7 linked regions of the Mus musculus genome follow. The protein of the gene in region 4 purifies or fractionates together with the protein of the main gene of each other region. This does not show direct contact. Links are inferred from orthologs where the notes say so. Each region holds a gene or a part of one and is shown on either strand. Other genes may lie near its edges.

What was found.
Region 1: the proteins of Neurl4 (region 4) and Ube3a purify together in Homo sapiens (affinity purification with mass spectrometry; 3 studies listed by BioGRID and IntAct, with this or other methods). This does not show direct contact. The link is inferred for Mus musculus from reciprocal best matches to the Homo sapiens genes NEURL4 and UBE3A.
Region 2: the proteins of Neurl4 (region 4) and Cep97 purify together in Homo sapiens (affinity purification with western blotting; 4 studies listed by BioGRID and IntAct, with this or other methods). This does not show direct contact. The link is inferred for Mus musculus from reciprocal best matches to the Homo sapiens genes NEURL4 and CEP97.
Region 3: the proteins of Neurl4 (region 4) and Ccp110 purify together in Homo sapiens (affinity purification with western blotting; 4 studies listed by BioGRID and IntAct, with this or other methods). This does not show direct contact. The link is inferred for Mus musculus from reciprocal best matches to the Homo sapiens genes NEURL4 and CCP110.
Region 5: the proteins of Neurl4 (region 4) and Mapk6 purify together in Homo sapiens (affinity purification with mass spectrometry; 6 studies listed by BioGRID and IntAct, counting the BioPlex papers as one, with this or other methods). This does not show direct contact. The link is inferred for Mus musculus from reciprocal best matches to the Homo sapiens genes NEURL4 and MAPK6.
Region 6: the proteins of Neurl4 (region 4) and Cep290 purify together in Homo sapiens (affinity purification with mass spectrometry; 3 studies listed by BioGRID and IntAct, with this or other methods). This does not show direct contact. The link is inferred for Mus musculus from reciprocal best matches to the Homo sapiens genes NEURL4 and CEP290.
Region 7: the proteins of Neurl4 (region 4) and Znrd2 purify together in Homo sapiens (co-immunoprecipitation; 4 studies listed by BioGRID and IntAct, with this or other methods). This does not show direct contact. The link is inferred for Mus musculus from reciprocal best matches to the Homo sapiens genes NEURL4 and ZNRD2.

The regions. Positions count from the first base shown.
Region 1 is NC_000073.6:59,227,356-59,231,549, forward strand, and holds the start of Ube3a (ubiquitin-protein ligase E3A), read left to right. Parts: upstream 1-1,394; 5' UTR 1,395-1,916; intron 1,917-2,334; exon of another isoform or gene 2,335-2,445; intron 2,446-4,194. UniProt on the Homo sapiens protein: E3 ubiquitin-protein ligase which accepts ubiquitin from an E2 ubiquitin-conjugating enzyme in the form of a thioester and transfers it to its substrates.
Region 2 is NC_000082.6:55,903,849-55,907,348, forward strand, and holds part of Cep97 (centrosomal protein of 97 kDa), read right to left. Parts: intron 2,022-3,500; coding exon 1,320-2,021; 3' UTR 1-1,319. UniProt on the Homo sapiens protein: Acts as a key negative regulator of ciliogenesis in collaboration with CCP110 by capping the mother centriole thereby preventing cilia formation. Required for recruitment of CCP110 to the centrosome.
Region 3 is NC_000073.6:118,722,543-118,726,042, forward strand, and holds part of Ccp110 (centriolar coiled-coil protein of 110 kDa), read left to right. Parts: coding exon 1-496; intron 497-1,912; coding exon 1,913-2,043; intron 2,044-2,760; coding exon 2,761-2,917; intron 2,918-3,460; coding exon 3,461-3,500.
Region 4 is NC_000077.6:69,911,816-69,914,324, forward strand, and holds the end of Neurl4 (neuralized-like protein 4), read left to right. Parts: coding exon 1-39; intron 40-113; coding exon 114-279; exon of another isoform or gene 280-999; coding exon of another isoform or gene 1,000-1,093; exon of another isoform or gene 1,094-1,311; coding exon 1,312-1,516; 3' UTR 1,517-2,009; downstream 2,010-2,509. UniProt on the Homo sapiens protein: Promotes CCP110 ubiquitination and proteasome-dependent degradation. By counteracting accumulation of CP110, maintains normal centriolar homeostasis and preventing formation of ectopic microtubular organizing centers.
Region 5 is NC_000075.6:75,407,217-75,411,282, reverse strand, and holds the start of Mapk6 (mitogen-activated protein kinase 6), read left to right. Parts: upstream 1-1,266; 5' UTR 1,267-1,420; exon of another isoform or gene 1,421-1,428; intron 1,429-1,923; exon of another isoform or gene 1,924-2,081; intron 2,082-4,066. UniProt on the Homo sapiens protein: Atypical MAPK protein. Phosphorylates microtubule-associated protein 2 (MAP2) and MAPKAPK5.
Region 6 is NC_000076.6:100,571,082-100,574,581, forward strand, and holds part of Cep290 (centrosomal protein of 290 kDa), read left to right. Parts: intron 1-981; coding exon 982-1,061; intron 1,062-1,192; exon of another isoform or gene 1,193-1,798; coding exon 1,799-2,026; 3' UTR 2,027-2,484; coding exon of another isoform or gene 2,485-2,679; 3' UTR 2,680-3,500. Other genes in the region: 4930430F08Rik (uncharacterized protein C12orf29 homolog), read right to left, coding at 2,485-2,679. UniProt on the Homo sapiens protein: Involved in early and late steps in cilia formation. Its association with CCP110 is required for inhibition of primary cilia formation by CCP110.
Region 7 is NC_000085.6:5,729,806-5,733,026, reverse strand, and holds Znrd2 (protein ZNRD2), read left to right. Parts: upstream 1-1,294; 5' UTR 1,295-1,332; coding exon 1,333-1,351; intron 1,352-1,431; coding exon 1,432-1,583; intron 1,584-1,701; coding exon 1,702-1,786; intron 1,787-2,314; coding exon 2,315-2,658; 3' UTR 2,659-2,721; downstream 2,722-3,221. UniProt on the Homo sapiens protein: Might play a role in mitosis. Antigenic molecule. Could be a centromere-associated protein. May induce anti-centromere antibodies.

The sequences.
Region 1 (4,194 bases), on a different chromosome or scaffold from region 4:
GACTTTTATTTAGGAGTGAATAGCTGAAAGCGTCTTCACATGCTGCAACAGTTTATGTACTTTACTTTTCTTAGCAGTCTAATGATTTTCAGTTTTGGTTTTGTATTTAAATAGTTTGCAAAGATAACTCTTTAAAGGGTTACATTTATTACTGGCCCCTTTCATATAATACAATGGTATTCCAAATGAGGATCTTTAATGGATGGAGAAAAAAAAAGAATAGAAAAAATTTAAAGTATCTTAAAATCTGATATAACAGTTGCACTTATTATTTATCCTGTAATAGTTTACACACACACACGCCTATTATTTTTTAATTTTAAAAAATTGCAAGCCTTTAATCCCAGCATTCAGAAAGCGAATCTCTGAATTCAAAGCCAGCCTGGTCTACAGAGTGGGTTCCAGGACAGCCAGGGCTTCACAGAGAAATCTGTCTTGAAAAACCAATAATAAAAATATTTTTTATAGTGGGGAGATCTTTCATATATATATGATGTGTATATATATATACACACACATACACACACATTATAGGAGCTGTAATAAACAGAAAAGCACATTAATACATGTGATTGTTACATTTTGAGCACTAGATGATTAAGGCTTACTAAGTTGCAAGCCAGGAAATAACATGTCAGCTAGTCTTTATAATAATTTAGTGTCAAAATCATTAACAACAAACCTAAGTTAAACCCTCACTCCGGTACCAACAAGTCACATGGCTCTAACAGGGTTCGGGTGTTCTGTAAATCAAAATTAGTCTCTATCCACGTGTGATCAAGCAAGGCGGTTTCTTCTCAGTTGACATCTACTGGAAGACAACACAGGAGGGGCTGGGCTTTTACCTACTAGTCTGGTAAGCCAGTGACATATCATGTTCTGGCAGAGGCTGATGGCCTTGTTTGCTGAAAGGTTGCCCAATCTCAACGCCTGAATCCTTTACTCGGACAGTTCGGATGAAAAGTCGTAAGGGTCAGCTCTAGCAACAAAACGCTTCTATGCCTCCTCGTGCCGCCAGTAGGCTACACCCTCTTGGCCTATTCGTCCCTCTGACTCCTGGGCTTTGCTAGGCTGGGTAGACCTGTCCGCTCTCGCGAGTACACCGAAGCACACTGGTCTATAGATTGAGTAAAAGGAGCAGAGGCTAAAAACACCAAGCCTCTCTCAGCCCAGTCTCAAGATGGCGACGATGCTGGCCAGCTTCCACCCAGCCCAAGGCCATCTCCCCTTCCCAAAGGCCCCTGCGCCGCAGGCGAAGGCGAGCTAGAGGAGGGCCCCACAGAGCTGCGATCGGGGCGGGGCAGAGCCCGTCGCCATCCCACGCACGCGCAACCCCGCCTCGCATCCCGCCTCCGGACTCCGAGCCCTCGCCCGGCAGGGTTGGCGCGCGCTGCCTGTCGGGATACTCGGTCCGCCCACCTAGTCCTCTCGTCCAGTGCTGCGTTCGCGAGATCCGTATTTCTCCCAAGATGGTGGCGCTCCTCTTTGGGTGACTCCAGGAGACGACAGGGCCTTTCGTCTTTGCCAGCACCTCGTCGCCCCTCCTGCGCTCGCTCTCTCGCTCGCGCACCGGGCCACGCAGCTGTTCACCGCCTCGTTACGCTTCTCTTCCGTCGACCTGTCGCTGACGGTGGCGCCTCCTTCTGCTTCTCTTCGGAGTTGCTCGCCGCCCTCGCCCCCCACTGTGGACAGATCGCGACAGCAGCGCTTCAGCGCCGACTTCAAGGTTGCCCAGGCGCCTGGCCTCTCGGCCTCGGTTTCCTGAGGAGAAGCGCGGGTCCCGCATGAGACCCGGCGGTGGCGCCAGCGAAAGGGAACGAGGCGGTGGCGGGCGGCGGCGGTGGACGAGGGCGACAAGGACCAGTGAGGCGGCCGCAGCTGCGAGGGCCGCAGCCCACGCGCGGGGGCGAGGACAGGTCAGTGCTGCTGCGGCTGCGGCCTGCCCGGCGCGCTCCCTCTGGTCTGTACCGCCGGTCCCCTCGTCACCCTCCGGCCCGCGCTGACAGGGTAGGCGCCGGGCCCTCACCCGCCTCCGTGAGCGAGTGCTTGGGGCGCGTGGTCTGGAGGGGCCGGTGCCAGGACTAGGCCCTGGTGGCTGCGGCTGCTGCAGCCTTAACTGTCAGTGCTGGCTGGACGCAGGAGGGAGGGTTTTGTCACCCACGGGTACCCGAGTGGGCCCGGGGTGGGGCGGACGTGCAGGGCGTCGAGATCGGGGGCCTCATCTAAGCAGAGATCGGAGAGCCAGCCGTGGCTTCAGGCTGCGAAAGGCAGGCCTTTTCCTCCAAAGGGGCGCTCTGGTGGGGAAGACATATTTAGATGTGTGCTTAGTGGGTTGGGGTATTGGGGGTGGATTGGAAGGAAGACGGATGAAGCGGCACCTCAAGCCCAAGGATTGCGCTCTGGTTTTATTCGTGTGCTGCTTCTGGTAGGATTCAGTAGTTGAACGTGAGTTACTGATTCCTCAGAAACTGCTGTGTTAATTTTCAATGCAAACCTGTAAGCAGTTGGCCTCCTCCTCTTCTCCCCTCCCCCTTTTCAGTTGAGAAAATGAAAAGGACGTTTTCCCCATTTTGATGCGGAGGCTTTTTGTTGGAAGAATCAGAGTTGAATGTGCTATAATTGCGTTAGCCTTAAAAATAGAAAGTATAATTTTAATAAGACTTTATCAGCTTTAGAAGAATCCTCTAAAGACAATTTTACGTCAATTTTTTTTATGTCTTTTGAGCATGCTAAAATAGAACAGTATAAAATCTCTTTGGGATTGCGTTAAATAGCTAGTGTACTGTTGGAAATGTTAACTAAATAGTATATGGGATGTGTTATCCACCATTATCTTACTTCGTGAAGGATATTCGTATAACCCATGGTTTTGGGAGAAGCAGCAGATTATGTTAAAATGTTTTGGATAGGGAAGTGCGTTTGAAATAAAGATGGCCTGAACTTTAAGAAATACAGCTGTTAAAAAGCTAAATATCAAAGCCCTATTGGACAAGAGACACGACGAATGTTTTTGACACACCTCAGATTAGTTAATACTCTTAAGATATCTTTTTGGTAAATTATGTAAATTTAGAATTGAGGAGAGATAAAAGGAAAATTTTGTCTTGTTATGTATGACAGAAATTGCTTTAGTATTAAATTCTCCTCTTAAATAGACTGCTTACTGCACTTTTAAGGAAGTGGATACTGCATCTGTATTGCTGATAAGCCTAAGTAAGGATGACTGTAAATCCATAAATACTTAGCTTTACAAAAAAGCCATGTATCAGAATCTGTAATAAAAATGAGAACTTCAACAATTCGCAGTCTATCGTTTAAGAAAGATACAGCACATAATAAAGATGAGATGACTTGTAGTTTTGTTTTCAAAATCAGAATGTAGGTTGTGAAATAATTTGTGTCAATATTTACCTTGCATGGTGTGTTGTGAAGTGGTATACACATACTTCTTTGGATGTTGCTCTTCATATAACTGAGGAGCTTAACTTTGAGTTTAGAAAATTCCTTTTGTATGCAGGTTTTGTAGGTGGCTTTTTTATCCCTGAAATAGCCACCATCACCCTTTTTTTTTTTTTTTTTTGAGAAAGGGTCTTATGGTATATCGCTGGATGACGTCTAACTCTCCTCTTGGCTTTGTCTCCAGGGTTCTGCGATTAAAAATGTATACCACCAGGACCGGCTATTTACCCTTTTTATGGTTTTAAATTAGAAAAATGTGATTTCTACCTGAGACAAAACTCATTCTATTTGATTCGTTTTTTTTTTTTTTTTTTTAACATTGCATTCATTAGGTATCTATAATGTCTCTGACATGTAAATTTTATTCAGTTGTATTTCTTAAACATTTGTGTCTTCCCTCAAATAATTGCAGTAATAATTGTTTCTCTCAATTTTTATGAACATTTTCTTTTTAATTGGCCATAGCTATTTTTTTTTCTGTTCAAGAGCTTAAGATGATCTTTTCAAATGTCCTTTAAAAAAACCAACACCTTAAATGAATGGTTACTGGTATATTATCATTTATTCTAATTAGGTTTGTTTGTTATTATTGATAATATTACTGTTAATGGATTTATATTATATTTATATGCAGCTATTAAAAACATCAGTGTTCTGATTTTTGCAACTGGAGATGAGTTTTAAGAGGTGGTCTTTTAAGTACTTTCAAATACGGAAAAACAATATAAAAATATA
Region 2 (3,500 bases), on a different chromosome or scaffold from region 4:
CTCTAATGGCTTTAATAGAATAATGGATGATATTAGCACCTACTTTTAACCAGGTTGTCCTTGAACTCATGGGAGCTGCCTGTTTCTGCTTCCCAAGCACTGGGATTAAAGGCATGCGCCACCAAGCCCAGCTGGATTTATCTTTTCTTAGTCACCAGTACATTGTCCTTCGAATATGGCACTTTTCAGAGATTAGATAAAAAAAATTCTTCAGGAAAAAAACAACATTTGCAGTCTATCAGGATTTTAAACGTTCTTCACTAAGGGACAAAGGTCACGAGTGAAATAAGGACTGAGACACAGCTCCATGGGGCATGCACAGGGCTGTAACTCCTGTGGTCCACAGACACACACACACACACTGTGAAGTGTAGCTTTGGCTCTTCTGGTGAAGTATATATAGAAATAAAAGCAAGACCATAATGATGAATACATATTGATTTCTTACGATCTACTTCTTCCCCAAAGTATTGGCACATAAATGTCAACAGCCTAAAAGAGTACATAATGAAAAGAGGCATTTGAACAGCATGGTTCCAAGTGACTAACTCTATGTCTCCTTTCTCCATAGCAAAGAGAAAGATACTTGCCCGAGCAAGCTTGATTTTAATCCTGATGGAATACCTTACTTCAAAACTGATCCACAAATTAGCTAATGTTTGTCATGAGGCAATTTAATCACCCACTTAAAAGTCTTACGATCTGGGAGTTAGGTGAGCAGCTCAATGGCCGGGCACATGCTGACCATTCTCCAGGCTCAGACTTTTAAATGCCAGCACGCACACATAAGGCACGCGCGCGCACACACACACACACACACACACACACACACACACACTAAACCTTATTCTCCCTAAGTGTTCTTATACAAGAAGGCTTTCCTTAACACAAAGGGTGGAAAGCCACAGTTTTAGGCCAAGGAGACTGCCTGGGAAATTTCACTTTTCCATAGTCCTCACCCTAGCCGTGCCTTACATATTCCATCCCTTACCATGTGACTAACAAGAGCCAAGTTCTCCTACTTAAATCACCAAAACTACTGCAAGGAACTGTTCCTGAAAGGCAGTACGGATGTAAAGGAAACATTATTGGTGTAATTATTAAGAAATAAAGTGCATATGCCTTTTAATATCAATATTGTTTAGTACAGTAGTACAATGAAAATGAAGACGTAGTTCAGTAGCTAATATCTAAAAAGTGTGGGACAAGGAAACAAGTTGTATATAAATAATAACAAAATGGGGGAAAGGGTTGCTCCCCTGCAAAAGAGACACTTGAAAACATAAGAAAATCGAATTGAATTTCTGCTCCCCAGTAAATCAGACAGGCTGCACAGTGACACCCACATGCAACCCCTGAAAGGCAGGGTCACACTCCGGAGGCTGCCCTTGGGCTTCTTCGTTTAACTGACAATTCTCTGGCGTCTGGCTAATTTCATCCTGTGAAGTAGAGGCCACTCTATGAGTCTCACTGTCAGAGGAGGCGTCAAACCTTTCCGGAGAACAAGCGAGGTGACGCTTACCGTCTCCTGCCACATCGTCAGAATCGGCCGCCTCTGCGGCATCGTCCAGCTGCTGGACGGAGGTTAAATACTGTTGGAGCAGAGTGTTGTCCTGCTCACTGGCTGAGCTCTCCCTACTGCAGTCACTGTGCTCCTCGGCTGTGGCCTCCGAGTCTCGGTCTTTGACGCATTTCACCGTGTCAGCGGAATTCCCCAACACGGAGTTTTCGCTGCTTTCTACCGAACTCTTTTCAAAATCCAACGAATCCTGCAGACAGGGAACTTGCTCTGTCAGGGAGGAGTGAAACCCAGAGTCGGGAAAGTCTGGCGCTGATCTCCCTTGCGCAGCTTCGTCCTCAGCAACGAGCCAGTCCGAACTCTGATCCGAAGAGGGGTCCTGATGATGTGGAAATAACGGGGGCTTGGGTGACGCCAGAGTACTTGATATAGGAGGCACGTCGGGCGGCCAGGAAGCCAGACGCTGTTCCACTGTCTGCTGCCAAGCTTGTACAGATCTTACCTGGAAACCAGGACACACAGTTTTAGTAGAAAGTAAACAGCCTGTCTTTTTTAAATGTCCAGAGCTTTTCCCCCACAGAAGTCCTGCAGTTGCCTGCATTCATTACCCGTCTAATCCCTTCACAGGGCTGACCCCAGCCTAACTGGGCAGGCACAGTGTTTTATGTCCTTGGCAGCAAAGCGTAACCCCCAGCACGAGAGGAAGGCCATAGCAGTTCTCCTGCTTCACGGGAGAAATACGACAGCATCTTTCTCACTAACGGATCGATAATGTGCAAAATATAGACAACATCTAGTCGATAAGGGCCGATTAGCACCTCTGAGTCTAAGTGCATCTTCTAAAATGAGTCTATTTTAGATATAGATGCAGACATGGGGTTTCCAGTTATTTTAAAATGTAGTATTTATAACTTTCTAAAATGACTAAAAATACCCCAAGTTCTTGACAATATGGCCCTTAATATTTTAAAGTTATAAAAATAATTTCAATTTTTTACTATAAAAATTGCAAGCTGAGCGGTGGTGGCACACGCCTTTCATCCCAGCACTTGGGAGGCAGAAGCAGGCAGATCTTCGAGAGCTTGAGGTCAGCCTGGTCTTCAGAGTGAGTTCCAGGACAGCCAGATCTACACAGAGAAACCCTGTCTCACAAAGCAAACCAAACAAGCAAACAAAAACAGCAACAACAAAAAGGCAAGGGTGGGAAAGGGCTCAGTAGTTAAAAAGACAAGCTATTCTTGACTGTAGGAGAGCAGTTCCCAACACCCACGCAGGTCACAACGGTACACCCACACAGCAGGTCACAACGGTACACCCACACAGCAGGTCACAACGGTACACCCACACAGCAGGTCACAACGGTACACCCACACAGCAGGTCACAACGGTACACCCACACAGCAGGTCACAACGGTACACCCACACAGCAGGTCACAAAGGTACACCCACACAGCAGGTCACAACGGTACACCCACACAGCAGGTCACAACGGTACACATCTCCAGGTGTGAGGCTTCCACACTCACCTGTGGCCCCAAGGGCACCGTACACACATAGGTCACATGCATACACTCCGGCAAAACACCCATACACAGAAATGTTTATTTTTTTAATTGCAGCTGGTATAGTGCTTGCCTAGCATACACGAGGTGCTGGTTTCAAACCCCAGCACTACACAAATCAGTTGTAATGGGGCACACCTGTAATCCCACCACTTGGGGGATGCAGGCAGGAGGATCAGGAGTTCAAGGTCACCCTTAGCTAGAGTGAGTGTGTGGCTAGCCTCGACCACATGAGAACCTATCTCAAAAATAGAGTAAGATAAAATAAAATGAAGTAGATAAAGATAGCTGGGGAGAGGAGAAAGCCAAATAGAGAAGTTTTAGTTTCACTTTGACTACTCTCCAGGGGAATTTCTTGTCTTTTTTTGAGGCAGGTTCTCACTATACAGCTCTGTGCCATTGAGGTACTTTCTGATAGT
Region 3 (3,500 bases), on a different chromosome or scaffold from region 4:
GAGCGGTCTGCTATGGAAGGTCCCTTCATAGCTGATGACAGGGGAGCCCAGAAGGTGGACGGTACTTGTATGGCTGTGCCCAAGTTGCATGAACTGCAGCCCAGCAGTCAGTGTGTGTCAAGTCAAACCTTGGAAGATGTGTGTGAACTCAAGTCAGCCAGTCTGCTAGCAAAGAACTCCTGCAACTTACAAATGGAACTGAATAAATCTTACGATGTGAAACACCCATCTCCCTTACTTACGCAAACCCAGACTTCCAGACAGCAGATGGACACACCGCCGGTGTTCCGTGGAAACGAGCAGTTTGTAGATAACAGTTTTGAGAAAGTTAAGCGGAGACTTGATTTAGATGTTGATAGTTTACAAAAAGAAAATTGTCCTTATATTATAACAGCTGGAGTAGCTGAGCAGGAGCGGGACCGTCTGCTGGAAAGAAGATACCCCAAGGGATTCGTCCACATTAACAAGAATAAGATGCTAGAAACTAGCCCCAAAGGTAAAAACTTAGAAGTGATTTGAAATAAATTGTCCTCTGTATGGGAGGGCACTCAATTGTCCTGATCTTACTAGAAACATAGCACCTGCTTACTGCCCTTTGCTAAGGTTCCTGTGGTTTTGTTTGTTTGTTTGTTTTTTAACTTATTTATTTATTTTATATATGAGTACACTGTAGCTGTCTTCAGACACACCAGAAGAGGGCTTTGGATCCCATTTCAGATGGTTGTGAGCCACCATGTGATTGCTGGGAATTGAACTCAGGACCTCTGGAAGGTCAGTCAGTGCTCTAATCTACTGAGCCATCTCTCCAGCCTTGTTAAGGTTTCTTAAATCAACCGGGCGTGGTGGCGTATGCCTTTAATCCCAGCACTCGAGAGGCAAAGGCGCAGAGAGGGGCAGAGAGAGAGGGGCAGAGAGAGGGGCAGAGGCAGGTGGATTTCTGAGTTCGAGGCCAACTTGGTCTACAAAGTGAGTTCCAGGACAGCCAGGGCTATACAGAAAAACCCTGTCTCGAAAAACCAAAAAAAAAAAAAAAAACCAAAACTTTTTTTTCCCCTTAAATCAGAGCAAGTTTCCAAACAGCCAGGGCTATGGAGAGAATCTCTGTCTTAAAACAAACAAGCAAACAAACAAAAATCACCTTTATAAGAACCTTAATAAAACCACTCTGTAGGTGGGTGAGGTGACACAGAGGCAGGTGGGGCTCTACATACGAAACCAGCCTGCTCTACTTAGCTTGCTAAGGCCACATAGTGAGACTCTCTTTCCAAAACAATAAAAATATGCCCTTCCCCCCTCCCAAAACAGTTGGTACCGGGGGAATAATCACCTTCCATCCTCTGAGTAGAGAACCATGTGTGGGTGAAGGCTACCTCAGTGAATGCCAGAGCTCACGAACCCACTGCCAAGCCAGGTGCTAGTGTTTAGTGAACATACAGGATGTGGCTGGTCATGCAAGTGGCTGGATCACTGTGAGAGTAAGTGAGGAGGCGGTGGCACAGGGTGGCTGCAGCTGCCCACGGCCCCCCGTGCCTCTTCCCTTAGAGAGTTCTTGTAGTCAAGTGGACTCTTACTCAATGGCGCTGTTGAGCTGAGGGGCTGTGGTTCAAAGGTGTTTTACTTCTCTGTGCTCTCTTCAGCTCAAGGAGCACATCTTAACGCTGGCTGGAGACGGGGAGCCTTGGAGCTCTGTTGACTGAGTGGGGAGGCGAGGAGGTGCAATGCTATGCTTCTGAGTAGCGGGAAAGAAGGGGAGAGGCCAGTGAGGATGGTGCACTGGGGAACTGGCTATGTCTGACCTATGTTATTTGAGGAATATCCTCTGGTCAGAAGCATAGCTCAGGTTGATGGCAAAAAATATGAACTGTTGGACCCGCAATGAGTTTTCTCAATTTAAGCACACATTTCTTTTCAGAAGGCCAGGAACTACTGAAAAGCAAGATGTTAGCTTTTGAAGAAATGCGAAAGAGACTAGAGGAACAGCATGCCCAGCAGTTGTCACTCCTCATAGCTGAGCAGGAGAGGGAGCAGGAGCAACTGCAAAAGGTGAGGCACTGAGATGCGGTGGCCAGCAGTCGGGTTAGTCAGCGTGTGATCTGGGCCATGTGTGTACACTGACAGTTTCCCTCTGTGTATCGTATTTTGAGGTGGTCATTGAGCCTGATATGTAGATAATATTTTGATGTCAGAATGTGAAATCTAACATTTAGGTCCTCACCTAAAAGCCGCTGAGTAATTTGTGGAAGGGCACCTTACTGAATCCTTCATTCAGAATTGCTAATATTTTGAAAGGTATTTTAAAAATAGATGTTGAATATACATTTTCAAGAATGATATTATAAAGATACTCGTTTTGTGATTTTTTTTTAAAAGATTTATTTATTTATTATATGTAAGTACACTGTAGCTGTCTTCAGACACTCCAGAAGAGGGAGTCAGATCTCCTTACGGATGGTTGTGGGCCACCGTGTGGCTGCTGGGATTTGAACTTGGGACCTTTGGAAGAGCAGTCGGGTGCTCTTACCCACTGAGCCATCTCACCAGCCTGCGTTTTGTGATTTTTAATCCCATTTTAAATTCAACTTAAAAATGAAAAACTACCATTTTACAAAGTGAAATCAGCTGAACCAGTTATCCTAACTTTGAGGGAGGATTGAGATAAACAATCATGTACCCTGCACTACACACACTTTCAGGCTAAGCCTAGAGTGGCATTAGTTCAGATTCCATTAAAGGATGCTGTCCTACATGGTCAACTTGCAGGAAATAGAAGAGCAGGAGAAGATGCTGAAGGAGAAGGCAGTTACGACGGACGTCTCTGACTTGAACAGTGCACTGGAGTGGAGACAAAGAACCGATTCTGCTTTGCTAGAAACCATGCTGTCCCAAGTGGACTCACTCCAGACTTCAAACAACTCTGGTAGAGTTTTAAGAATTGTTTTCCTCTTGACAGTTATTGTGTAGTGAGCTATTTTAATCATAGGTTTCTTCTGGTAATTTAATGCCCATTCCACCCCCTATTTGCCTGCTGTTTAGTAGCCATGAAAAATGACATGATATGGGATCTAAGGCCACAGAGCAGGTGTCCTTGAGAGGACTCACCATAACAAGAGCAGGCGGTTGGGCCCAGAGCCTGGCCCCTCATTCATGCAGCAGGTGCCATGCTCAGGTGAGAGCAGTTGGCTATCTCCTGAGTGGTTTGGAATTACCTCTAATTCCCCAGCAGCAGGAAGATCTTTTCACAGCATCAGTTATCCCGAGTTCTGTTTGTCTTGAAAAGCTCCATCTGGCACAGAAGCTGAATGTCCATGGATATTTCATGTCTGCGTTTGGCTCAGTCTCTGAGATGGCTGTTATTCGAGTGTCACAAATGTTTATTACAGCATTTTGCATATTCTGATTATGTGACATTCAGTATGATGCCACAGATCACTATACTAGTCTGTACTGTGTGTTTCTCTAGGCTTCATAACTTCTGCCCTGCAGTACAGCTTCGGCTCTGC
Region 4 (2,509 bases):
TTGTGCGGAGAGTGCTGGACCGAGGGGAGTTGGGAGCAGGTATCATGGAGTGGGCTGTGCTGAGGGATCTTGGGAGGAATCATGGGGCTGCCCTCACCCAGGTCTCTTCACAGGTACTACCTCCATCCTGAGCTGCCGACCTTTGAAGGGAGAGCCTGGGGTGGGATTTGAGGAGCCTGGTGAGAACTGTGCACCTCCCCGGGAAGAGCAGCCCCCTCCAGTGCTGCTCTCCCCCTCCCTTCAGTATGCCGGGGCAGAGATGCTGGCCTCCAAAGTGCAGTGAGTACATGCCGGGAGCACTAGGGGCTCAGGGCTGTGCTCAGTCACCCACCGCACCCTTCCTGCCCTGCTTGTTCCTGGATGCACCTTTACCTGTCACTGTTCCTCCTTCCCTCCCGTAATACACACGCATGCGCGCGCACACACACACATATGCACGCACACACACACAGAGGCACGGTTTCTCTATGTATCCCTGGCTGTCCTAGAACTCATTCTGTAGACCAAGTTGGCCTTGAACCTAGAAATTCTAATTCCAGTGCTGGGATTAAACACATGGGCCACAGGGAATCAGATTCCATTATAGATGGTTGTAAGCGGTGCTGGGAATTGAACTCAGGACCTCTTGAAGAACAGCCATCTCTCCAGCCCCTTTTGGTTTTTTTGTTTTTGTTTTTGTTTTTGTTTTTCTTAAAACAGGATGTCAAGTAGTCCAAGCTGGCCTCACATTCATGTTTGGTTTGTATCTGAAGCCGGCCTTGAACACTCAGTTCCTGGTTCCATCTCCATGCTGAGTGTGGATTAGATGAGTGCATCTGTAGGCCTGTTTTTCTGAATGTGTATGGATACCAAGTCTTTCAAAATATCCTGCACCAGGCAATGGGTTTGACCCCTTGTACTACCTAAACTGTGCTTGCGCATTGTAACAAATTCCTGGAGTCCTAACACTAAGTGGCAGGGTCAGTGGGTCGGAAGTTTAAGGTTGTCCTTCCTTTATAGGGAGGTTGACTCCAGCCTGGTAGAGACCCTATACTGTCTCCCAAAAGTGGGTGAAGTAGATGAGAAGTGCACTTGGAGTGTTTGGAAGACGTGAACTAGAGTGCCAGGGTAAATAAACACATGAAGAGTGCTGGGGAGGAGTTAGCTGAGCAGGCCAGGGGAGGAGAGTACTACATACACAATAGTTGGTGCTAAGCCAGTCACGGTGAACAGTATTTCCCAGAAAACAGCAAGGCCTGGGTGGAGGGGGCAGAATTAGCAGTCATGGACCTTGGGAGCCTTACTCTTCTCTCGTTTCTGCTTGGCTAACAGATTCCGGGACCCAAAATCCCAGCGGACACACCAGGCTCAGGTGGCCTTTCAGGTGTGTGTGCGCCCTGGCTCCTATACTCCTGGCCCTCCCTCTGCGGCCCTCAGAGAACTTCCTGACCAGCACTTCAGCCCATCGGAACTTGAGTGGGTCACTAAGGAGAAGGGAGCCACACTCCTCTATGCCCTGCTGGTACGAGTGGAATAAGGGGTGACATACCACTACTCCAAGCACAGCCGGGCCTCAAGCCCAGGACTCTTGAATGACGACTGCCTCCACCTCATTCCCGTGACTGAGAGCATGTCCAGTGCTGTCCTGGCAAGGAGGAGCACGTAGGCAGGCTTTGATTTAGAGCAGGTGTGAAGCACATCTCTACATTCAGGGCCCAGCACACTCCCTCTGCTGAGAGGGAGCCCAGCTCGTCTCGGGGTCCCCCCTTCATGCACTGACTTGGGGAACATGACTCCCTATTATTACCCTCCCCCATATCACTTAATTTATTTCCGTTTTTGTTTCTGGTTACTGTGAATCCCAAAGGAGTCTCTCTGTGCCCACATGAAGCTGCTTTTTCCGTGGCCACTGGGCGCCATGGGGAGGGAGTGGGTAAAAGGAAGGGCTGCCCGAGGACGCTGTGGGCCTCTGTACAGTTGTTACTGACTCTGATTTCTAAGGAGCCAATAAATACTGTCTTCAGAGCATCTGCCTCCGCCTCTGTCTCCCGCGGCCTCGCGAGTGAAGAGTTCTAGGGGCTTTATCATCCCAGGCCGCTCTGTAAATCCACATGGAGTTTGGACATCCCGGCACCCGTCTCTAAGCGCTTCCGCCTTCCCTTTCCTCCAATCGGCTGTGCCGTTTGCCGTCGTGACTCCGGAAGGATTTATCCTGGCCGCCGGATATGACGTAGAGGCCAAGGCGCGCCGAAGGCCTCGGAGAAAGCGCCGACAAGGCGGGTTGCGGGGGTTGGCGCCAGGGCTACGAGGGAGGGGCGGGGGCGCGGAGCCTAAGACCCTCGCACGCGCCCCGGCGCTGAGGCAGAGACCCCGGAGGGACGCTGGTGCCCGGGACACGTGATCGAAGTGGCGAGCGGGCGGCGGACGGGCTTCCGCTTCGGCGCGTCGCAGTCTCTCTAAGCTCCCACTTCCCTGCAGGCCCCGCCTGAGGTCTGGCAGTCAGTGAGAGTCGGGTGCCCACTGCCCAAGC
Region 5 (4,066 bases), on a different chromosome or scaffold from region 4:
AGGAAGATGGAGGTCCCAGAGTCCATCAGGAGGAACTAGAGGGAGGACAGAGTGGGTCGGTGGAGCAGAACTTCACAGTGCCGGCTGCACTCAACAGCTGTAAATCTCGCTTTCTGTAGGCATTACTGCTCTTCTCCTGGTATTCAGATGGTATTGCTTTAAATATAATAGAGCTGGGCTCAGCTGCCTAAGCCTATAATCCAAGCTCTGGGGAAGCTAAGGCAGGGAGATTAGGTGTGCTAGGGCAGGCTGAGTTATAGAGAGATGCTGTCTCACAAAGCATATATTTTAATGTATCTCTGTATTAGGAAACATTGAAGCTCCTCTCAAGCTCTTAACTTCAAGTGACTGTGTCATCTCTGAAAGGGGTTTGCTGCTTACAGTGGATCATGGACTGCAGTGGCCATATTTTCTTTAGGATGGTCAATTACCACTGATAGAAAGGGCTAACCGAACCTCTCATTTTTCTTTTTTGTGAGGCGGGGTCTCAGTAGTCTGGGCTGGCTTTGAACTCACTATGCAGCCAAGGATTAACTGTATCTTCTAATCCTTCTGGTCTCCAAGACAGGGATCACAGGGGTACAACAACAAGCTCTCCCAGCCTTTTGAGACAGGGTCTATTATATAGCATAGGCTGTCCTGGCACTACATAGACTAGTTAACTCATGTGCCACTACTCCCAGGCAAACCCTGTGCTTTTTATATCTAAGTTCCTAAATACTTAAATTTCATCTAAGCACTGGAAGGGCAGCTATCTACCTTTCTCAGCACGCCTATGTCAAACTCTGGCTGGTCTCAGCGATCTCAACAAGCCAGCCACCCTGCTGACTGAGCTTTTGCTCAGTTTTCCCAGGACCCCTCACTCATTCACCTCCCTGGTTACCGCGGATGCTTCTAGAAGCAGCCAACGGACCCCGGGGACCGATCCCAGGGGCCTTCCCAACACCACCCTGAGCTTATCTGCTCAACAATCTGGCCTAGCATATTCGCCTTCGCCCACTTCCTCCCGACAGCACGGGACCCAGCAGCCGTTCAGACGCTCGCCCTGTCGGGTCACTTGGTACGACACTCTGGGCGGTGGTTCAGCTGAGGCCGGGGTGTACCCGCCAGCAGGCCGCGTGCAGCTCCGACCGCCCCCGCGGCGCGCGCAGTCACGGGCGTTGGAAATTCCGGCGCGTGCGGCTCCCCGGCTGGCGGGGGCGGGGCCGCCGTGGAGTGAGCCTGTGACGTGAGGGGGCGTGCCTCTGCGAGGCCCCGCCTTCTCTCCGCGCCCTCTCTGGCGGGTCGGGGTTACATGGCGGCGACTGCGGCAAAGCGAGAGCCTCGGAAACGCCGCTGCCGCCAGCACAGCCGGAGACCTGAGCCGACCTTGAGGGCTGTCCGCGGGCCCTGCACTCTGTCGATGAGTCGGAGAAGTCCCGTGAGTGTGTATGTGTGTGTGGCCGGGTGCGGGCCGGCGCGGGAGGGAGCGGCAGAGGGCCCGGCGGCGGCGCCGGCTCCCGCGTCCATTGTGTGTGACCCTCCGGGCGGCCGCCGCTCAACAAAGACGCTTTTGTTCCGTGTGCCCGCTCAGCCCGGGCGGCGCGGCCGGCTGCGAGGGCCAGGTCCCCGCGTGGGGCTGGCGGCGCGGCCGGCGCGCCCCTCCCACCCGGCACGCCCCTCGCCGGGCAGCCGGCCGCAGGCATAGCTGGCGGGCCCCCGCCGCCTGCACCGGGCTGCGCTTCGCGGGTTCGAGTCCCCGCCGCCCGCGCCCGGTTCCGCGGGTTCGAGTCCCCGCCAACGCGCAGGCGAGGGCGGTGGTCCAGGAGCGCTTGAGGCGGTGGAGGCTTGCCTTCCTGGCTCGCTGCCTCCCTCAAGCTCTCCTGTCTCCTCCCCTCCCCAGCCTGCCCGGGTGACTCGGCCTCAGCTGACTCCGGCCGGGCAAAGTCTCCGGCACGTTGCGTAGCGCTCTGCTCCTGCCCCTAAGTCCGCCCAAGTTTGTGCCTGGCGGTCCACGAGGTGCCGGGGACCGGCCTGAGACAGGGCTCCTGACACCTTTCCGGACGTTAAGGTGTGATCCGGAAAAACACCCTGATGAAAACGTACGTTACCGGTTACAGGCCTCCTCACTTGGAGCTTGTTATGATCGGACTTGGGAGTTGTGAGGAGTGGAGGGCTTTCGGCCGCCTTTTGTTCCTGCCTGGCTTTGGCTCTCCGGCTCAGGTGCCTTGGGGAAGCTGCGTGCAGCAAGCTCCTTTAGATCGCTTTCGTGTTTTACCTTTCTTTGACTTGAAAGTAGGAAAGATGGAGCGCAGGGACTTGGTAAAGGGGAGTTAGGTCTCTTTACAGTATCTAAACAGTTCGTGTTCGTTGCTAAGAGTCCGGAGGCAGTATTAACTTTTTATGGATACAGATAGATGATTGTCAGAGGGGGAAATAAAAACGTTCTCAGGCCATCAAACGAAGAGCAGCTAGCTTCAGAATAAATTGTTGATTATTCTAGCGTTTTTATTTTGGTAAAATTCTGGGTTTTGACGTTCTGTCTCTTTAACGTTGGAGAACTGCGTTGGAAAGAATTTGAGAAGAATGTGGGGTCTAACCAGGGTCCAGTCCTCAAAGGGATTTTGTTGGTTGCAGAGACAGTCGCCACGTAGTCCCAGCTAGGCTTTGAGTAACGATTCTCCTGCCTCGGCTTCCTGCTGGGTTTAACACGTGTGCACCATTGTCCCCAGCTTGAGAGTTTCTAGAAATGACAGATTTTAGTGTTTGGAAATAATTTTGAATTGAGTGGAAGAAACATATCTTTAGCTTGTAGTTGTTAAAAACCTGTTTGTAAGCTGCTTTAACAAAAATATATGTTGTATTAATGTAATTACATCATAAATCTTGCTTTACTGATGTCCCAATTAATAATTGTCATCTCGGAAGCTTGTCAGATTTGAGCAGACAGTTCTATCGCTTCAGTATTACTGTTCCTGAAAAAAAAAAAAAAAAGACCCTGGGAAAATGAAACATTGTTTAAAGTCAGCTTTCTATATGAGGATATTTTGCAGTTTAGTCATTTGCAGGAGAGGATTAAAGTAGCCTGCCCACTTTTTGCGATTAAAAAAGATTCTGGGGAGGACTGGCTTGCGGAACATTTAGTTTCTCAGTAGAAAAGACAACGGTTTTAAAGACAAGTGTAAGTGCCGAGAGCGCTGCAGCATTTTATGTAAGTTCCCGGAGGATGTGAGAACTAAGAACTCACAACCTCGCAGGCCTGCTGACTCAGGGGACCCGGGGAAGGGCCTGGGGTCCAGTGGGAGGAGGCACAGAAGGAAGGCTGCAACTTTGGAGTTGGGTGATGACTCACCCTGCCCACTGCCGCCACTACTACGTGGCTTTTTTTTTTTTTTTTAAATGATAGGCTAAAGTGTTTCTGTCCATATCAGAAATCTCTTTTTCTCCGAAGGATAGTGTCAAAAAACAAAAAAACTAATGGCTTCTTAAATTGGCTCTTAAAAGGATATCCAGTACCCTGCAGGTACAATTGTGTAACATTTGTTGAGAGAAAAGATAAAGTCAATTGCTGTTTAGTTGCTGAAATTAAATGTTTGATAATAACAGGTCTTTGGCTGCTAGTAAGAGAGATTTTTTTAGGAAGTTATATATGGACAGACAGTACATTATAGTCTTGGTGGAAATTGGCTAGTTTTCATTGATCATCTATAAGGTATTGGTTTAAGTGTTGTTAGTAGGAACTGTAAAACATACTTTCTTGTGATATTTATGCATTTTCAGTATATTGAAATTATTACTATCATTTTTATCAGTATGGGGTTTTGCCTGCATGTATGTCTGTGCACCATTTGACTGGTACCTTCAGAGAGGCCTGAAGAAGACATTGGATCTCTTGGCACTGGAGTTTCAGAGGCTTGTGAGCTGCCATGTGGGTGCTAGGAATCAAACCTGGATCCTCTGGAACTGCAGCCAGCTTTTGTAACTGCTGAGCCGTCCCCGAGCCTGGTGAATTTTCTATTTTAATGAGGACAGGTTGAAACAGGCATTGTTACAAACACTGTTTCCAATCAGTTTTTAAAGAGAGAAA
Region 6 (3,500 bases), on a different chromosome or scaffold from region 4:
CCTATTTTCTTCATGCAATTTTTCACCAACAGTGTGTATAAGATCTCAATGACTAGGATCAAACTAAGAAATATATACATACTAATCATGTTTACTAGGGCACTCAGGTAAATAGAATCAGCCACTGTGTCCATCAACAGATGCACTGAGATAAAATGTGGTACATATATATAGGAGAGTTTTATTAAGTCATAAAAATATCTGTAGGAAAATGTGACTACAGATCACCTTAACTCTCAGGAAGACAAATAGTTTATCTTTTCTTCATCTGTAGAATTGAGATTTACATGACATATGACATAGAAATAGAAGGGGAACATTATTTTTTTTTTTGCCTCTAAAAGGAAAATGCATTGTTGTTTATTTGGAACCCTGCTTGTTTGTCCAGTCTCTGAGTGATAGAGGACACCCCAGAGCACTCCAGTACACTTCCCGTCCTTACCATGAAAACTCGCTTTCCTTAGTTCATCAAACTCGAACATTAAAACAAAACTCTTTACCTTTCAAAGACTGCATGGAGTGGCAGGACACTGTCTATTAACCTGTGTGCTGATTCCTCCTCCACAACTTCATCTGTGCCACACGTAGTCTTAGATGTTTGGCGTAAAGTGTAAAAAAAAACCTTACACACAGTAGCCAAAGCTATGTGGTGTGAAGGCATAAGTGGCCAGCTTAGCATTTTAATTCGTTGCCTGTATACATAGTACCTAACAAATTTACTGGTTGCAAGGTTTTTCTCTCAAAAATAAGAATTCCTCTCATATAAAAAAAGAATAGCCCACATTTCTGATAGCTGGCAGCTACCTTACTTGCTGAGTCATGGCCATGCAGTTTGCATGCGAAGTCTTCCCACCATACAGTGCCAGATGATGCAGACCTTCGCTTTCATGTTTCCTGTTTATTCTGAAACAAATCCTCTATCTTTAACTCACTCACAGTAAAGAAAAACATAAGTCATAATTTTCCTGACTATTTTGGCAGATTCTGATCAACTAAAGGAAAAGATAAATGACCTGGAGACACAACTCAGAAAGTTGGAGCTAGAAAAGCAACATTCGAAGGTAATTCGTATTGGTGTCTAACTTTAGTATGCTCAGTGTTTTGTGAAAACAGCTTTGGGAAATAATTTTTATGATCACCATCTTTAAGTGTATAACCCAAAATTCATGGATTTATTTCACACTTATTATTTGACTCATGACAACTTTTTATTAAACAACTATCAACAGCAAAAAATCAGACAAACAGAAAGTACTAGAGAATAAATTTATTTTTAAATTGTAACCAATGCACATCTCTTAATAGTTTTTTTAAACTATTTTCTTAATTTGTGGGTCATGGTGGGGAAAGTGTTTTCTAAGTCCCTTTTGAAATTATTTTCAGGGATCTTTCCCTTAAATCATTTAGTGGTCTGGCTGCTCGTCACTGGTCTGTGTAGATGCTGTAAGCATGCACTTCACCAGGTGCTTAACCTTTCCAAGTCCCAGGGTTCCCATGATCATAAGTATTATATATAAAAGATAAAAAATTAGAACATTATAAATACTGAAAACTCTTGAATGTTGTTGTAAAAAAGCAAAGTCCCTTTCGCTTGCCTGGGAATATCTGAGGCAGTTTAAAGATTTAATCTTATAATTTAGCTAAAGATGGCAGCTTCTACATTATTCACATGGTACAACGGAACCTTGAACAGTAAAATATAAAGAAAAATATTTACATTTAAGATTTTGAGTTTTTATGTTTATAATTAAATCTAAAATTTCAAACCAAAAACATGTATCCTGTATGTAACTTTTAGGAGGAAGTTAAAAAGCTGAAAAAAGAACTGGAAAATTTTGATCCTTCATTTTTTGAAGAAATTGAAGACCTGAAGTATAATTATAAGGAAGAAGTGAAAAAGAATATCCTATTAGAAGAGAAGCTAAAAAAACTGTCGGAACAGTTTGGATTTGAACTGCCTAGTCCTCTTGCTGCTTCTGAACACTCGGAAGATGGAGAAAGTCCTCATAGTTTCCCTATTTATTAGTGCCCTCGTGTAACTGCAGGTTTAAAACTATTTTATGAGTGAAAAAAGTTTCAGCTGGAAATCAAGCAGTCTCTGTGTTATAGAATTTACAGCTCAAAATATTGTATTTTTTTTGTTTAAAAAAATCATATTTAGTTTTAACTTGTTAGAAAAGTATATTTTTGAAGACTTCATTAATTTATGACTATACAGTGCACAATGAGCTATGATAAATATTACTATTTTCATAATAACTTAAATTTTCAAAAAGCATAAAGGTAAGCTTATATCAATTTACTATTTAAAATTGATTATTTTATATTTATTTTTGTGTTAAGATAGTCAAATCCTAACGATGATTTCTATAAATACCTAGAAACATGTTTAGAAGTTGACAGGTTTTGCCAAACAGCTAGCAAAATTAAATGCAAACTATTCAGTCTTAGAAAATCACAATAATCTCAACAATTAGTTCCATTTTATACATCAAGTATTATGTCTTTGAGTCTCTCAAATTTCTGTTTATCTATTTTTGAAAACTGATTAAACAAAGACTGGTTATCAAAAGCACAGTCATAATTGTTCAGGTTCAGGTTCATGTTAATAATAACTGGTTTGGAATTCATGTAAGTATCTGGAAGTGGCCAGCATAAACCAAGATGGTGACGATGGACCTGTAAGGAGAAAAAAATGATGGTATTAACTTTAGTCGAAAACAGCATCGTAACTTATACTTGTGAATACTGCTACCTGCCAGGTCCACTGTAAGGGTCTACCTTTTCTCATTCTAGTTCAGTTCCATAGCTGCTCTTTTGACAGTGCTGTCTGTCTTCCCCATTGGGATATGAGCTTCCTGAAGGCAGAGCAAATGTTTTGTTTACTCTGCCAATACCTGAAAAGTGCCAGTAACATAATGAATATAGTCTGTTAGTGACTACAGAAAAAGTAAGTGTGAGCCTGACTCTAGTGTCACCAAAGGAATGTTAGTGGCAGAATGGTAGGGTAGTCTGGGATCACAGTTGGTTAGGACGTTGCTGGGTAGCTGTTTCCTCCACATGAAAACAAGCACTCTAGATGGAGCCTCTTTAAGACCCAGAAAGTAAACAAACTTCACACGTCTCACTGTACTGGCTAGTTTTGTGTCAACTTGACACAGGCTGGAGTTATCATAGAGAAAGGAGCTTCAGTTGAGGAAATGCCTCCATGAGATCCAGCTGTAAGGCATTTTCTCAATTAGTGATCAAGGGGGGAAAGGCCCCTTGTGGGTGGGACCATCTCTGGGCTGGTAGTCTTGGTTCTATAAGAGAGCAGGCTGAGCAAGCCAAGGGAAGCAAGCCAGTAAGGACCATCCCTCCATGGCCTCTGCATCAGCTCCTGCTTTCTGACCTGCTTGAGTTCCAGTCCTGACTTCCTTGGTAATGAACAGCAATGTGGAAGTGTAAGCTGAATAAACCCTTTCCTCCCCACCTTGCTTCTTGGTCACGATGTTTGTGCA
Region 7 (3,221 bases), on a different chromosome or scaffold from region 4:
TCCTCCTCTTATTTATTTTATGCATGTGAGTATATGGTAGCTATTTCCAGACACCCCAGAAAAGGGTGTCTTAGCCCTTTTACAGATGGTTGTGAGCCACCATGTGGTTGCTGGGAATTAAACTCAGGAGCTCTGGAAGAGCAGCCAGGGCTCTTAACCGATGAGCCATCTCTCCAGCCCTTGGTCTTTTAATTACTTGGTGCTCTTGCAAAGAACCCAGGATTATGAGGAGCACTGGTCCTTGATTTGTAACCCACTCGAGTATAAGCCATTTTCACCAGCAGGCCCTACAGTCCTCTGAGAGGAGAGAATGCCTCCGTAAGATCTGGTGGGCTCTCCTGTAGAGCACTTTCTAACCAGTGATCAGTGGGGGAGGGTCAAGCCCATTGTAGGTGGGGTCATCCTTGGGCTGCTGCTCTTGGGTTCTGTAACAAAGCAGGCTGAGCAAGCCATGAGGAGCAAGCCAGTAAGCAGCACTCCTCCATGGCCTCCAGCTTCCTGCCCTGCTTGAGTTCCTGCTTTTGATGAACATGTTATATGGAACCATGAGTGAAACAAACCTTTTCTTTTCTTTTCTTTTCTTTTTTTTTGGCTTTTCGAGACAGGGTTTCTCTGTGTAGCCCTGGCTGTCCTGGAACTCGCTCTGTAGACCAGGCTGGCCTCGAACTCAGAAATTCGCCTGCTTCTGCCTCCCAAGTGCTGGGATTAAAGGCATGAGCCACCATGCCCGGCGAAACAAACCTTTTCCTCCCCAAGTTATTTTTGGTCATGGTGTTAATCCCAGCTATACTAGTCCTAACTAAGACAGCAGGCTTACATCAGTTCTAGGCATTGGTAGAAGGTGGACAGAGGACACCCAACACGCAAACAGGGAGGAGTGTTGAAATAGGCAGAAAACGACCTCAGTGTAGCTAGCCTAGTTTGAAAGATTTAGAGAACTTTTTATTGCAGTGACTGTTGGGCAGATGTCATGGTCCTGCCCATCTCCTGCTTCCCCTGTGTGGAAAGACAACCCTGAGGGAATCGGGTATTTCACAGACCTAAGGGCCACTTTATCTGAGGCAAGTAGAAATGGAGACTCTGAAAAGCCACACCCGAGTACTGAAGCGTTACCAGGGAGACGGTGGTACCCAACCATAGCTCTGGCCACCAGCCGAGCCCGTAGGTCAGGGTCAAATGTGCAGCAGACACGCCCCCCCTTTGACTAAAGCGCCAGGAAGACCGTGTAAGCGTCACTTCCGCCCTCAGCTACCACATGTGGGAGGCGGGGCCGTAGTGGGGGCGCATCTTATTTGGATCACTTCCGGTGAGCCCAGCAGTGACCACGGCAACATGGCCTTGAACGGTGCAGGTATGCGCTTGGGATGTTTGGGCAGTGGCCGTGGGGTGCGGGAGGCAGCTCTCTCTATCTCCTGTGCCTGTTTTCTCTAGATGTCGACGATTTCACCTGGGAGCCTCCGACTGAAGCTGAGACGAAGGTGCTGCAGGCGCGACGGGAGCGGCAGGATCGCATCTCCCGTCTGATGGGGGACTACCTGCTCCGTGGTTACCGCATGCTGGGCGACACGTGCGCCGACTGCGGGGTGAGGCGAGTGATGAGGCCGAGGCCGCGGACCGGGCCGCACGACCTTTCCTCAGCTCCCTCTTCTGTGAACCCTGTCTCTCCGGCTCACCTATGTCCATGTACTTTCTGGTCCCCAGACGATCCTCCTGCAAGATAAACAGCGGAAAATCTACTGTGTGGCTTGTCAGGAGCTCGACTCAGACGTGGATAAAGATAACCCGGGTGAGGGTCCGAGTGTGCACTGTGGGGAGAAGAGAGTGGCGATAGCTACAGAGGAACTGTGAGCCTGGGAGGTGACAGTGGAAACTCCTGCGTGCTGTGGCATTAAGGTGCCTTCTCGTTTCCGCCCTAGAGAGGTGTTTCATTCAAGAAAGACCATCAGCCTTTTGTTTCTGACACCGTGGGGAGAGTCCTAGCAAAATAGTCATCCTACGTTGTAGAGTGCACGTGCAACCCTGGGTGCTTGTGCATGTTGGACAGGCATTTTACCACTGAAGGGCGGGCATCCCAGTTTACAGGAATAGACTTGATGCATAGATGAGGCCAGGCCATCTGTCAAGCAACTGGACCTCAAGTGTAAATCAGTGGGGCAGTGTTTGGCAAGCATGTGTAAGGAGAAAGAAGAGTAGAGATGAGATGGGATTGGCTTAGGCAGAAAACACCAGCAGCTCAGGGACATCAGTAAAGAGCACATGACTCGGGAGAGGCGGACGGGGCACCCTCACTCTTCCACCACTTTTCTTGTTCTAGCACTGAATGCACAGGCGGCGCTCTCTCAAGCTCGGGAACACCAGCTGGCCTCATCTACAGAGCCTGCCTCGAGCTCTCGGCCCCCATCCCAGCCACCAGTACCCCGTCCAGAGCACTGTGAAGGCGCAGCAGCCGGGCTCAAGGCAGCCCAGGCGCCTCCTCTTCCGGCTGCACCTCCAAATACGGACGCGGTGGCTTCCACACAGACGGCCCTCCTGCAGAAGCTAACCTGGGCGTCAGTCGAGCTGGGCTCTAGCACCTCCTTGGAGACTAGTATCCAGCTCTGTGGGCTTATCCGGGCTTGCGCCGAGGCCCTAGGCAGCCTGAAACAGCTGGATCACTGAGACCTCTATCCTGATCCCTGTTCCCCTGAGAAAAACCCTCCAGAAAAACAGTTTTTCCTCCGCGTGGTTTGTTCTTTCTTGGTTCTGAGTGTGCATGTGAGCCCCAGTTCTCCTCGATGGTTTTCCTTGCTTTTGGCATCTCACCTTTCCATGGTCTTTTCTACCTGAATGGTGAAGTTCTGCATTCAGGACAAGAAGTAAATGGCAGAGGGATAAGTGACACCTTATTCCAAGGACTGACCTCAGTCTTCCCAAAGGCTGGGCCACTAATCATTGTCTCTGACCCAGTACCCCCTTTCCTCCACTTGAGTGCCATTTGAAGTTTCAGTCCCTTTGGTGGCTTCCTTTCCTTCCTTTAACCATCCTGACTCTACCATCTTTCTCCATCTTCTGGCTGCTAGGATGTTGACAAATTGTGGGGAGGGGCAGTGATGCACTGTAAGAGTCAGGCACAGTCTTACCTTCCTACCCCAGACTCGGGCCTCCCACATCCCCGTGCTTTTAGAATCCTTCCCTTGGGAGAGGACACATTGTATAGGAATGAGGCAGCAAAAGGTCGCCAA